2 linked regions of the Oreochromis niloticus genome follow. The protein of the gene in region 1 purifies or fractionates together with the protein of each later gene. This does not show direct contact. Links are inferred from orthologs where the notes say so. Each region holds a gene or a part of one and is shown on either strand. Other genes may lie near its edges.

What was found.
Region 2: the proteins of pdpk1b (region 1) and sdc2 purify together in Homo sapiens (affinity purification with mass spectrometry; 4 studies listed by BioGRID and IntAct, counting the BioPlex papers as one, with this or other methods). This does not show direct contact. The link is inferred for Oreochromis niloticus from reciprocal best matches to the Homo sapiens genes PDPK1 and SDC2.

The regions. Positions count from the first base shown.
Region 1 is NC_031973.2:19,344,099-19,350,962, reverse strand, and holds the start of pdpk1b (3-phosphoinositide-dependent protein kinase 1), read right to left. Parts: upstream 3,015-6,864; 5' UTR 2,846-3,014; coding exon 2,822-2,845; intron 2,729-2,821; exon of another isoform or gene 2,136-2,728; intron 696-2,135; coding exon 405-695; intron 189-404; coding exon 146-188; intron 56-145; coding exon 1-55. Other genes in the region: tsr3 (18S rRNA aminocarboxypropyltransferase), read right to left, coding at 3,513-3,648, 3,818-3,872, 6,403-6,573, 6,679-6,864. UniProt on the Homo sapiens protein: Serine/threonine kinase which acts as a master kinase, phosphorylating and activating a subgroup of the AGC family of protein kinases.
Region 2 is NC_031985.2:14,750,506-14,758,448, reverse strand, and holds the start of sdc2 (syndecan-2), read right to left. Parts: upstream 3,018-7,943; 5' UTR 2,610-3,017; coding exon 2,550-2,609; intron 1-2,549. Other genes in the region: ppp1r36 (protein phosphatase 1 regulatory subunit 36), read right to left, coding at 7,657-7,873. UniProt on the Homo sapiens protein: Cell surface proteoglycan which regulates dendritic arbor morphogenesis.

The sequences.
Region 1 (6,864 bases):
TTCACATACTGGGTTTTGTTCTCCTTCACAATATGGCGTTTCTCTAAAATCTTAACTAAAGGAGAGAAAAGAGAATGTTAGTAAACGTAAACCCAGCAACTTTTTCATTTTAGTATAACTCAATTCATTATACGTTATTACTTACTTGCATATTCTTTCCCTGTTGCCTGCTCTCTTGCCAGGACAACCTTAGAATAAGAAACAACAGTGAGATGATATGGCATGTAACCAACCAGTCAGATGTTGAGGGAAAATAATAATAATATTTCCTTGGGCTTACTTGTCACTTCACCTAAAATGAACTCAGCATGACTCATCCAAGTACATTAATCAAAATAACGCTAGCATGTAGCAACATCTTCCTCGGTACATTTCAAAAGCTAAGTGGAATGTAAGTTACATACCGTTGAGAAGGAGCCCTCTCCCAGTATCTTGCCAAATTTAAAGTCCTCTGGCCTCTTTTTGCGTGGCTGAGAAGCCGGGACGGCTGGCTGTGTGCAGAGCTGTGGGGCCTGGCTGCTAGCAGATGCTCCTACACCACAAGCCTGTGAGGCTGCGCCCTCCATGCTGGGGCAGTGGCTGCTGCTTGCGCCTGGGATTGCAAGTGGCGAGCAGGAGTCAGGGTGGTTTCTTACCATTGATGGATGCGAGCAGGAACAGATGACAACGCTGGGCTGAATGGGCACAACATCATACTGCAAGAAAAAGAGGCATCATAAAGAATGTGTTATTAAGCAGGGTGACACAGGTAAATAACAATTCACATGTGGAAAGGCTCTTTACTTGAGAAAGCTGAGGGACTGTATAACCATCTGAACTACTACTGGATTGAACATAACAGTGATGACAAAAATATCAGGATAAAATAGTAACAATTTAACATTTCAATAACGTTTTCAATAAAAATGAATGCATAAAGAAAATGTGTTTTGTTATTCAGCACTTTAAACTATTACTTAAATGAGGAATTTCAGGTTTTTCCATCAGTCTGTGATGGATTTAGTAATTGATGCGGCTATTAGTTGTCAAAATACAGATTAGATGGCCCAAAGAGCACACGGCAAAAGCAGCTAAACTTAATTACTGAAAAACATGAGCTTCCTAGAACATCACCGGCACCGGTGACAAAGGTGAGTTGAGATGTTTACATAGATGAGACTAAAAGAAGTTACCCACCACAACCACAGTCTTCTCACTCTACTGACACCTGAAAGTTCCCACTGGTGTAAACAACACTTTGAAGAATTTTCTTTCATATGCTTTGGAATCTCTGAACTTTATCATTGCACTCATGAAAATTAACTAAATTAATTAATTATTTTTAATGATAGCTATATCCACATTGCTATCCAGTTCTTTATTAGCATGAAGTAACTCCATGTAGAATTTTGTTGTGCAACCTTCCGTTGCGTTATGATAATAATTAATCCTGAATCTTAAATCTCTTTCACAAAGTATACATATGACACATGAAGAGAAAGAAATGTACTCACATATTACACGAAGCACTTTACAGGCTGCTGGCTTAAAATTATTGTTGCTTATAGTTCTGTAAATTACAATAACCTAAACATACTACTACAAGTGAGACCACTTGTAGACCAAAGTCTAACAGTGATAAGAAGGAACTGCTTAAGGAGCCACTTCTGAGCCTGGTGGTCCCACCCACCTGTGTTCAAGCTGTAAAAACTATGTCAAAGTTAATTTTTCATGTGACAGTGATACTTGAGACATAAACTGCGCTGAACTCACACCATCTATGTGTACATAATCAAACTGACATGGCAGCTGAGGCACACCAACTGCCTGTTTAAAACTTAAAGATAGTGCTTCCTAAAAATTCCCGGTACCGGTGTCATGTATGTATAAACACACTGAATTACCCGAACAATAAGTGTGTAGTTTAGCTGGCAGTTCAGTTTACGTTTAATTAGTTCAGTTGGCCTAGCTTTTTCTCATTCAAAACCAAGGTGTGGCCATTATTTTAGCTGCCTATTCCGGCCTATTTCAGCTAGCCATATAACTACCTACTGAGTCACTGCTATTGGTCAGGCATGTAATGGTTGGAGGAAAACGCCGAATAACGTTTTCCTAACTCTGAGAAGTCGTGAAACAACCGGCCTGTGCGAACTTACCTTGCTAAGAAGCTAATGTTAGCTCCTGCTGGCTTGTCAAATAATGCCGGCCATCGCTGACAGTGAGTTACAAACTTAACGCCAACAGCCAATTAGCTAACGTTAGCAAATCGGGCAACACAAGCAACTTCAAAACCGTGTGGCATTTTCAAGAAACGTCACTTAATTGTGTAAAAAGTTAGTTTCCTGCCGTTTATATGAAGATTTGAAAGTTGACACTCGAATAGCACAACGCTTTCCTTCAAAATATATGCTAACCAATGGAAGAACGCAATAAAGCTAATGCTAGCCTGCTAGCAAACGGGGATATCGAAAGCGCGAACCTGTTAAGCTATCAATAGCCAATAGTTACTGGTAGAGGAAAACGCTCATGTGTCCCCCCTGTAACCATTATCGTGTACTGGTAAACGTTTCAAAAGGCCCAAATAAGTCGAGAAAGTGTGACTCATGAATACTGTGTGAGATTTGACGATCCAAATTAACAAGGCAAACACTGGGTGTTGCGATAGCCAACATTAGCAAACTAGCAAGCTGCTAGTGAGTCGTAAGGCTAAGCGATCTCCTGCAGCTAGCACTGCTCTTCAAATGAAGGCCCGACGTAACTATTTATCCCCACACAGCCTCTACACTGACCATTTTGAGCACCGGCTTCGAGCTGGTATTCACGGCAAAGTTGTAACACTTACCACCTGACTTGTAGCTCTTGCCATGAGAGTTTTCTGCGAGTATTTATTTGGAATAAAATAATTAGAGAAGCTCCAGTAATGGCTGCCTCTGCGCCTTCATTTTCGAGCTGTGACGTCGTTCCACAACAATGTTACCGCAGGACAGCAGAGGAGAGTCCCGCTGTGTCCGCCCCCTCGCCACATTAACAACCTACTGAACTTCATCTTACTGATAGGGCCGGAGTCAGACGGTAGCAGTTGTGGCCTACAAACTCCCGTTTTAGACCAACTTTGAATATATGGCAGTAAGAAGGATCTACAGGTCTTTTTTATTCAAGTGTAACTAAACTTAAGTGAAGAAGCACTCCTAAATACCCAAACTGACAAAAATGACCAATAGCCATAAAACGCTTTGTGTGAAACTGAAACTGTGGCAACCAAGTATATTCCAACAAACAAAAGTTTAATCTAATAAATATTTTGTCAATAAACCAAAAATATGTGTTTTAAATGTCAATAATAATAATAAACACCCTTACTTTATTTCTATTTAGTTGACATGCATCACAAAGTTCATTAATTTACATAAACATATAGGCAAAAAAAATACATAACCATTCATACGTGCCAAAATATTTTTTGAGCATTTTAAAACAGTCGTGTATTAAAAAGAACCCACAGTTGAAATATGATTTAGTGTAAAGTCTTTGGTTCAATCCTCTTCATCATGGTCATGTGAGCTTGTTCTTGTCTCGTCATTGCTTTCCGTTTCTTTATCTTCTGCTTCATCTTCGTCATCTTCCTCTGAGGGGTCTGTGTCCTCACTGGAGTCATCTTCTACAGGTGCACTAAACACAGAAATGAACTCAGTAAACATAGGAAACAAATCGTTAAAGCCTATTTTAAGAGAATTCTTGCCATTTTTAAAATTATGCTGGTAATTTCTATGCCATATAAACATCACCACTAAGAAAACTAAGTAAGAGATATGTGAAGATGTGCTAGATCAATACTTACCACTGACGTCTGTTGAGATTCATGCATTCTACTCCAGAGTTAACATCAAATGGATCTGTGAACAAAACAGATGTGTAGCTTTCATTACGAGGACAGTTAATTCTGCACTACAGGTCACTCAGCAACAAAAATACACATCCAGATTCTAGACATTTCCAGACAATCAGCCTGGATACAGACTTCCTCATCACTGGCCAGATGTGTTCAGAGATTCAAACAAAATCAAATGAGTCAAAATCCAATAAGGAAAGGAAAAAGAAACAACAAGGCAGCCTGATTACAAGGCAAGGAAACAACGCAAGGAACAGTTATATCAATGTCCACAGGATAATCAATCAGACAAAACACTTCATAATGACATTTATTTCCCCTTGGAATATTCATTACTAATTGTCTTTAAAGTCTTAAAAATAATACGAGTTTTATATCTTATAAACAAATATGAGAACACTGGTTTCCTGGTGACAATTTAGCAAATGTGAGTCACAACAGGAAACTATAAAAATTATTCTAATTATTCATTAGCAATTACTCAGATTCAGCCATTTCCAAAGTGAACCTTTCCAAAATAAAAATACATTTGAATCAAACAGTTGATTATGACCAACAATACTGTGCAAAAATCCCTCATTTCTTAATATTTGCTTCCAAAGTGGTTTCGAGCAATAGTTCTCCAGGCTTTCTGAACCTCTTTCAAAGTTTGTCTTTGGATAGTGGCTGCTTTTTCACTCATTTTTAATCCAGTCCAATACCTGACCATTTTCAAGGGAATGTTTGTTAAGCCACTTAACACTGACTTGTGAATTAATCAAACACAAAAAGGGACCCAACTCAAGAGATGACCTTTGTTGTTTCTACACTGCAGAAAATTAAGCCAAGAACCAACTTTAATTTGTATCTTTAAGCACTTTCTTGTTACAAAAACAATTGTTTCTCATTTATTTTGTTGAATTTACGAAAATCCCAAAGATAACAGCTTAACAAGCATGAAATAGTATTTTTACACCAACAAGGTGATTCCCAAAGAGCTTTTAGCTAAAACCTTGGCATATCTCGAAATGGTCTGCATATGTCCTTAAAGAATTTGAAGAAACTAGACAAATGGAAGACAAAAGAAAGTGGCAGGCCTAAAAATACTACCTACAGTAAACAGTAACATCTGAAAGTCATGTTTTAAAGAAAGATCCATCTACTGCCTCATCAGAAATGCTGTCAGACGAATGAAATCCATGTCAAGAATCAATTCTTAAAGAAGGCTAACAAGAAGTACTGGACTGAAAAAAATGGAGTAAATAAAAATTGTACATTTTTGATTCAAATCATCATCAATATGTACAGAGAAGTTCAGGAGAGAGGTGTTGGGAAAATGTATCTTGCCAAAATTTACAGACAAGAATGTACATTCAGATTTTGATCCACTATCTGGTGATACAACCATGTGGAAAGCATCTAATTGGCAACGCCTTCAATTTTTCAGCAAACACACTGCCAATGCAGTAACAGCATAACTGGATAGAAAAACAGACAGTTGAACACTATCACTCATGGATTGGCCTCCCCAGAGCCTGGGCCTCAACATTACTGAAGCAGTGTGGGATCATCTTGACAGAGAACAGAACCAAAGGCAGCCAACATCCAAGAATGAATGTCCTTCAAGAAGCCTGGAGAACCATTTATGAAGACTACTTTAAGAAAAGGACCAGAAATCTAGTCAGAAATAGTTCAGGCTGTGTTGATGAATAAATGTGGGCACATCAAATATTCACTTTCAACCTCATTAGAATAGTATTAGCCTTATACGCTATATTTCCATATTTGTTTAAATGTGTCTGAATAAATCACTGCACCTACTTTGCATTTTCTATGCAAAATATGAAAAACTTAGGAGTGGCTCAAGATTTTTGCACTCAAGAGGTCCAAGAACTAATTACCTTCTAAGTCCTTTTTTTTCTAGTTTGTATTTGTTATTAAGAAATCTAAAGTGATGCAACAGCTAGCCACTTCAACACAACTTCCTGCTTTAGTCTTATTTTCTCGTTTCAGCCTCTTTGTTTTCTTTCTTTTCTGCTGCGTGATTTCTGCATTCTGTTTTAGTGTTTTAGGGTTAACACAGCTAATGTTTTACCAGTACCCCCAAAAGACAATCAAAGTTTCTCTTATGCCAGAAAAATCACTACTTTGTTGTAGGAGCTAGTGCAAACACTGATGATACATGCCCACTTTTAACTGCACTACAGCAGGTCTCATTTTGCACTAAATCGTATACATATTGTTTCCGAATTGTTATATTGTTATTGTATGTTTGTTTTTTAAAATCTATGATGCTATACGGTTTTTTACTGTCCCTGCAACAGCTACAAAGATACAAAAATGCGACTAAAACTTAACAGTTACTAAAACAGTTACTTGAAATTGTCATCTGAAAGCTCTTAAAGTCCAATAAATGCGATTTACTTAAGAGCCATTAGTTGTACACGAAGCCAAACTACAGCTAAAACAAGAAAGAGGTTGAACCAAAACACAGTGACCCTCTACCTCCACTGCTACACAAACCCAGACACTGCGTGGAACCCCAGGTTATTTACCAAACTCCTCCTCTTCCTCTGGTTTAGAAGTGAGAAACTCTTTCTCTACACCAAGGAGCTCTTCTTCCGACTGACACGCAGCATAGCGGCCAAGCAGAACTTTATTGAGCTCCAGAAACGCTGTCCCCCACTTAAATTTCTTCAGTAAGAGCAATGCCAGTTCCTCAAAACCTGCAATATCAGAAACAATATGTCACAGTTTAACTGCCTTAACCAAAATAAGACACAAAAAGCAGTTGCTGCTGTATTCCTGAATAACTAAACCTAAACCCTTACCTACGATGCAGAACGTGGCAGCAAAAGCTTCAACGCAGGACAACTTGCAAGGCTTGCCATAATTTACAGGGTTTGCAGCTACGAGGTACGGCAGTAACCTGGGATGACTTCCAACCATCTTATTGAAGGGTGTCTCCTCCAGTTTGGCCCAGGAGCAATCAATCACTGCGAGCCCATTGTTGGCCA
Region 2 (7,943 bases), on another chromosome or scaffold:
AAAAGCCCCCCCACCCCACCACCCGTAAATCACAGATGTAAAGGGAGGTGAACAACACCCCCGCTTCCCACCAAAACATGACACAAATTACAGACCACAACATCTGGTGAGTGGTGTGCACCAAAACACAGCGGGGTGGGCTGAGGATATATAGCCTAGCTTCACTCAAACTCATCCTCCTTGTTCACAGAAATACTTGGAAGCAGAGGCGTGACAAAAGGTAAGGTTGTAGTGGTCGTCAGCCAATAAAGACAATCCTGGCTGACTGAAATTGAGCTTTCTTTAGTTGTAGGGGAACCAAAAAAAACAAACAAAAATACAATTGCATGTTAACTCTAGATGAGCTACATCTAAAAGAGAGACGGAGGGTTTACATCCACCTTCTATTGGCATATGGTAGTGCCCTGAAGCTGTTGCAGGATGTGCCCGCTGTTACGAGACTATTTTTAGACCAAACTTATTGAAACACGCCAATTCTGGCATGCTCACACTCAAAGGTTACTCAAGCATGTAACACAGAACACCTGAAAGCAAACAGGTTAACATGCAAACTCGCCACTAATCAGCTCTGTTACGATCATGCCGCTTACACTTTGACTGACTTGACGTAAATGTTTAGGTCGTGTTAAAAGGTACAAACAACCTGTTTCCACAGGTAGCCTGCTCTAAAGATAATGGGTTAATCCTGGAAGGCTATTGATGTAGAGCTTTTCTCCTTATCAAAGTAACCCCAGGGATTGTCTGACCAATTTGTTCGGATGAGAGCGTATCGACCAACCGATCGACATGACAACTCGGAGATTCCAGACCTTGAAAAATGTCAGGGGAAACAATCAGACTGCCACAGGTCCACACTCACTACATCATCTTTGAGAGATATGACGACAGCAAGCATGCACGGTTTGGCAAAACCCGTCTTTTCATTAGCATGTGCAAGGACCTCACATGTGAGATTGCTGTAAAAGAATTACTCAGCAAGCAAGCTGGTGAGCAGGACAGCAAACCAAAAACACGATAAGTAAAAGAGGCACTAGTGGCGCCTAGAACTGCAGGGTAACAAAGAGTCCTGTCTCTTGCTCTGTGGTGATATAATTCCTTCTCTGAAGCCAGGAGCAGTTAGTTTTATCATTAAAATTTCAAAAGCCTCCAAGTGTTACAACATACCTCTGTGATGTAGTGGGGTAATTAACACACAGACAGATGTGCCTGAAGCAGGTTATCAACCACTTGTCAACATCGGTGCCAATACTGAGAATCAATGTCACGTGTCAATTTCCATCAAGGCCTTTAGGGGACACTGATAAAAGGGAGGCCAGTAATGATCAGGTTAAAGTCTGCGTGTGCCTGCGTGTATGAATAGTTGATGAAGATTTAAAAGCATGCCACTATGTGACAAGTTTTGCCAGATATTATATTTTATTCATATGAATCTAAAATGTAGCAAGAATTTCATTATAGGTCTATAATAGAAACTTCTGAACTGGTATATTCTAAACTGGTTCAACTTTATATGCATTTTCAAGAGTATAATTGTCTCTTGTACTGAAATTTTGAGGACCTTTACAAAACTTGGCATCCTATAGTGAAAGTATGGTGAAGACTCAAATGGTTTCTTGCAGACACAGAGAAAACATTAAAATAAAAAAAATGTTTAAAAAAAAAAAAAAGTACTCTGGGGGTGACATCATGTAAAACAATGAGTCATTAAAACAACAGTGACTGAATCAGCTAATTGGACAAGTGGTTCTAACAGTGGAGGAGGCGCTGTGCCAGGCGACAAGTCACAACCCACAGAGAAACAACAGGAGGGGACAATAATGACAGAGGCTGCACATAAAAGTGCCAAAATCTGTCATTCCAACAACCCAGCCAATTTACAGGCTGATGCCCACTCAGTTAGGAGACTTACTCGAGCCTGAAACTGGGAAGAGATAAGGGAAACTTCACTGATTTTTTTAAGCATCATTAAGATGATTCTTCTCATCATGATGAAGGGGGGATAACAGAATTCTCCAGTCTCCAGTCATGATGACATTTCCTCAATAATGCAACTACTGTGGGCATGAATCTGCACAGTTGTCTCCACGGGGATTAAGAGATCCTCGTGAAATCACTGCAACACAGCTGTACAGAGCACCTCGTAGCCAGTTTAGTGACCCCTCGTTCCAGCCTAACTTCGCTCGTATAACGGCAATTAAAGTGTGTGGAAGACTAAAGCCGAGCACCTCTGGGTAAATAAGAACGAAGGCAGGCTTGAATCTAAAGGAAATGAATACTTGAGCACAAGGGCAGCAGTAGCCTTTATTGTAGCTGGTTAAGATAGATTAGCTGACAACGATTTATCATTCTAGACAACCCTTCTCGTTATTTGCCGTGCAATTAAAAAAAATAAAAAATAAAAGGAATGCTTTGACGGGATTTCTCTAACAGCTACAAACAGCAGCGAGTTGTCTCTACGTGGACCCAAGTCGCCTTCCTCGCCCCCCTTCACAGCCCAGCTCAATGCCCAGTAGTTTAAGTTTGCTTTCCCAAAAAACCCAAAAACTTACCGTTTCCTCGGCGAGGAAAAGAACCAGCCCGAGGGTGAAAATTATCCAAACGTTCCTCATAATTCCTCTTTGAGGGTTAAAAACGCGTTGTTGCAAACGAAATGTCAGATGTTTCCCCACTCTTCTTCTTCTTCTTCTTCTTTCTCCCCTTCGTTTTCCTTGCACCCAACTCCTGCCGCTTCTCTCTCTCTCTCAGGAGTGGGATCCCACCGGATACGTGTTGCGTTTTGATTATTCCTCCTCCCCTCACCCCGGGCACTTCTTTTTTTTCTTTCTCTCTTTTTTTTATGCTGGGTAAAATCTTACAAAATGTATGTAACCGCACAAATGCGCACGGTTTAACAGCGAGGTCCTCCGCGCGCCGGTATGTGTGTGTCAGTGGAATCTGCACGAGACACCTCGCTCTCCCTCCGCGCGAGCGCTCGCTCGAAATAAGAAGGGGGCAAAGTGTAGAAGCGCGAGCACGGCGCCACCGGCGCTCCGGTGAGTGCGTGCGCTCCTTCCGACCGAGTCACCGCGAGACGCAGAGAGAACTTGTGAACGAGCGGCCAAAAGCAAGCCAGTAACGACACTCACAACAAATCGCTCGTGTAGTTTTATTGGTGTACAGTAAGTCTTTATTTTAATGAGTTTACTATTGTCTATTATTTCAACCCGGGAGGTCGGATAACAATTCTACACGAGGATAAAAGGCTCGGCTAAATGAGCCATTTATCTCCTTGTCTGCGTAACAATCCTTAATTGCACCGTAATGAGGATTACACAGTTTAATTCAGCAACTGCGCCAATTTACAATCAAGCCTCGAGTTTGTCGTGCAGCAGTTTTACCAACACGTTTGATTAGCCTCTGCAGCTGTATTTTTGTATATGAGATCAGTAAACAGGCTTTATGTGAATAAAGCGCAAAGCACCCTGTTAGAAACACGCTCACAATATGGGTGGAAGTAATGCTATGGGCAAAGTCTCCCCCTGTTGGTATGAGTTGACAACTTTCTCTAGAAGCTGAAATCTGCAATTCTGCAGTTTGTGATGAAAAGCAAGGCTGAACATTTAACTTCTGATGTTTGCATTCACCTTCATCGCACCTTTTTTTCTTCTTTGTTCGCAGATTTATTAAGTATATTGAGTGGTTCCTGGTTCATTAGTGTTAGGTAGCTCTTGGTAAAGTATTGCACCATAACAGGTTGTGTCATTTCTAGTGAATTCTTCATGTTTACAAATCATCAGCTCAAGCCTCTGAGGCAACACACACACATCCTGACATCTTCAGATTCACAAGACTAAGTGCTTTTTCATCTAATCATATTAAAACAAAATAAAACACTGAAATAAAATGCCATTTGAGGCACAAAGTATGGGCACAAAACTAAATTCCAGGGAAACATTTTTTTTAAAAGATTCCCTGAGTGTTATTAAAAGGCTATTAGACAAATGTGGTATGCTTTAATTACATTTCAATCAGTGGCAGACACTTTTGTACAAAGGGTGGTAAAAATCAGAGCCGGAGCGTATCAAAGAGAAGCCTTTGAGATGGAGCTTCAACACTCTGTTCCACTTTCCACCTGACACAAGTGGCACTCTGCTTGTTGGTGCATGAAAGAAAGTTGCAGGCAATCACCCCCTCCTTTTTTTGAGGGGTTGGGAGAAGTTGCTGAAGGAGAATCAAGGTAAACAGCATTACTGAAAGATGGTTTTGTACCTTTGCAGTAACATAAGCACCATATACTTTCAACTCAGCAAGATTTCCAAATTGCTCACTAACATCCAAAATCAGAGAAGAAAGCATTTGCTAGTCACCTTCTAAAAGCCACACTGACAGTCCACTCTTTGTGCAAAGTGCAATCTTAAACTGATGATAACAAATAAGGTCAAAGGTTCCTATATAAAGTATATAACAGGGACTAGTATACAGTTAAATGTATGTGCTGTTTATGCACTACACAGTGATCTGCTGACTTTATGCATCAATCTCTGACATGGCAATAACTAATTCATCTTCAACACTTGCATGGGGGGAAAAAAGATGTGAGACACACCATTTGAATTACAAAACTTTTCTCAGGTGACATCACTTCTGGATTGCTTATTTCAAAACGGATCTTGAAAAGGGCACTTAAATAATTCACCAGAATATTCTGTGGAAGGAAGTGTCGAACAACTTCCAGCTGTTTGCATGGAATTAAAATTAATTTCACTACCCTGTGCTGAATTGAGAGTGTACAGTCAGATTAATTATGCCTTTTTCCTTGTGTTTTGGAAAATTGGCTTTGGGTTTCAGGGACACAATTAAATTCTAGGAATGGTCATGTGATGGTTTACATGAACTAAATTAGGCTTTATTAAAACCTAAAGAGAAAAGCATCATGAAGCATACTGGGATTTAATTCTTTATATCAGAAATGTTAATGAAAAACCTTTACTTGTTTTATCTCCAAATAGTTTGACTGTCATTAAACAGCTAATTTTACACACAAAGTGAGTAAAAATATTCCTCAGAATACATTTTGATGAACAGCCTTTTTAGTTTAACTTGAGTTGTTATCAATACTCCCGAGCCAGTTTAACACCTCTGATTATTAATCCAGGTCAGTGAGAGAGATGCATTAACAGACAAGGCAGGTTTCACTCTGTTGAGTATCTGTCAGTTTGCCTGTTATTAGCCACAGTGAACTAGAGGAGGAGGAAGGCAACAGGAACAAGGGAGGAGACAGAGAGGGAAAGTGATATTAATCATCAGGGGGGAAAGACGGTAGCCAAAGAAGAACAAGAGTAGCATGTGACCTTTACAGTTCTCCCTGTGCCTGTCTTTAGACCATTCATCCTCTGCAGTGATGGGAATAACGGCGTTACAAGTAACGGCGTTACTAACGGCGTTACTTTTTTCAGTAACGAGTAATCTAACTAATTACTATTCCTATCGTTACAACGCCGTTACAGTTACTAACAAGGTAACGCGGTCCGTTACTATTTTTCAACAAACAGTTGAAGCCGTGTTCAGTTCACCGCATCTTATATCAGCTCCAGGAAGTAGCTGTAAGTAATCTGGGCGCTACAGCTTTAAGCAGCTGCGCGCTCCCGCACGGACGGTAATCACGATCACTGTCTAGCACAACACCTGGAGCTAAGGAGGCAAAACAATCGCATGAGTGCTGCTGTTTGACTGAGGAAGAATAAAGTAGTCGTGGTAAGCCAATCACATGACCACTTAAAGACAAAGCAACAAGGTGCTAGTTTATAAATTGTGTCGATAGGCCACGTAAAACCAGAGTCATGATAAACGATATATACGCGGCGTTTTTTCCTCAATAGTTTCGCCACGTTAGCGCTAGCAAGCACTCTCTGCTTATGAGCAAAAAAACAAAACAAAACAGGGGAAGTTTTAGGAGTGACGGAGAGAGAGAGAGAGAGGGAGAGAGAGAAAGAGGGAGAGAGAAAGAGAGAGGGAGAGAGAGCAGGAAAAGAGAGAGAGAGAAAGAGAGAGCGAGTTTTGAGATGTGAGATTTGTGACGTTTAGCGTGTTTGGAGTGTGTAGTTAATGTGTTGTCTTGTGTAGTTAGTGTGTAGTGTTGTGGATAGTTTTGTGTTGTGTGTCAGAACAATGAGGCGACTGCTGTCTCCAGGTAGAAACAGAGGTGATACACCTGCTGCTGTCAGACCTGCAGGTATCAGGCTGTGATGTTCTCCTTTATAGTGGACAGAAATGATTTTTTTGGAGTGGCACAAATAATTTGTGTGGCATCTTATTGAAGAACAGCTGATTGTTCTGTAAATAGTTTGAAATGGTTATTTAAAAAAAGGGTAAAAGGTAAATGGATGCAAATAACTTTGTTGTTTGCAAAACTTGTGCATAGGATTTTAAAATTGACAATTAATATTTGCATTTGAAGTTATAAAATATGATTCATTAAACATGTTTATGGTTGTTACAGTAAAAATATAACTTTTTCTACTCTGATTTTATGTTTTTTGTCTGATTTTAGATCAATTCTGGTTATACAGTATGACAAAATGAGAACATAACTGTAAATTCAGGCACGCGAGGTTGCGCTAAAAAGAATGATACCAAACAAGGCAAAGCAAATAGTTTTTAAAGGTAAAATGTGGAGAGAAAATCAAGAGTAGTAAAAAAATGGCCAATTATACCCTGGACGCCAGAGGGTTAAACGTTCTTTGTTTTTTTTTTTAAGTAACGCAATAGTTACTTTTCCAAGTAATTAATTACTTTTAGAATATTGTAACTCAGTTACTAACTCAGTTACTTTTTTGAAGAAGTAACTAGTAACTATAATTGAATTACTATTTGAAAGTAACTTGCCCAACACTGATCCTCTGTGACCTGAATAAAAACAAGCAAGAAAAACTGAATTGTGTCAGAGGCACTTGGGTAAAAATCAAGTACACTTCAAAATTTTGAAATTAAAACTATATCCTGCGACCCATCCCCCATCCTAATGCTTCCCAGGCTCTCTCTTTCCTATCCTCACAGGGCTTAAGTCTACTCCTGGTGTCCCAGATTACACAGCCAATTAGGGCAAAGGCAAAGCCCCTTCTGCTTCCAAGCCTGGCTAGGGTGGTGCGTGTGTGTGTGGCACTAGTTCACATGATTGGGAGTCTTGTTTCAAACAGCACAAGGACCCATAATGACAAAGTCAACTGAAGGAAAGCCTTCAAAGACCTAAAATAAATAAATAAAATCTTGGTGTGAAGCATGCATAATTTTACATATCACCTAGTTTGAATTATGAGCACGCTGAGGTCGACTTGCTTTATTTTTCTATGTGAACTGAATACATTTCATATTCTATAGAAAGGAGACCTTCAAAAGTGTTATGGATTTCATTATATTTTATTCAACAGCACCACCAGCTGGAAGCACTAAACAGATTTATATTCAGAGGCATATCCCAACAAATAGCATGTATGATAACAGTCCAGGAATATGATTTTTGAAAATGAGCCACACATGAAAGACTGAAATCTCAGCTTCTACCTCATTCTTTGCTTTCTTTACCTGTGTGATGTGCAAATAAATGTTAGGCCACTGAGAGTACACACATTCACATGCAAGTCATTCAATATGCAAGGTTTTCAGTGTGCAGTTTAATCTTTATGTGGATGGTGCTTCCATGTCTGAAAAGGCCATCGACTTGAATCCTACGAAGGACAACTCGGTACCCTGAGCACAGATTCCAGAATGATCTGCACTGTTATTAACATCACTGTCTACTTCCTTGTCCTTATCCTCGTCAAAAGGTTTCTGTTGTCCACAGGGCAGCAGTGTACTGTGGCTGAATTGATCCAAAGGCTTCCCGAGAATCCCAAACCTGATTAAATGAAAGAAAGATTTCAAACAAACAAACCAAACACAGTGCTATCTTGGAGGAAATATTATCT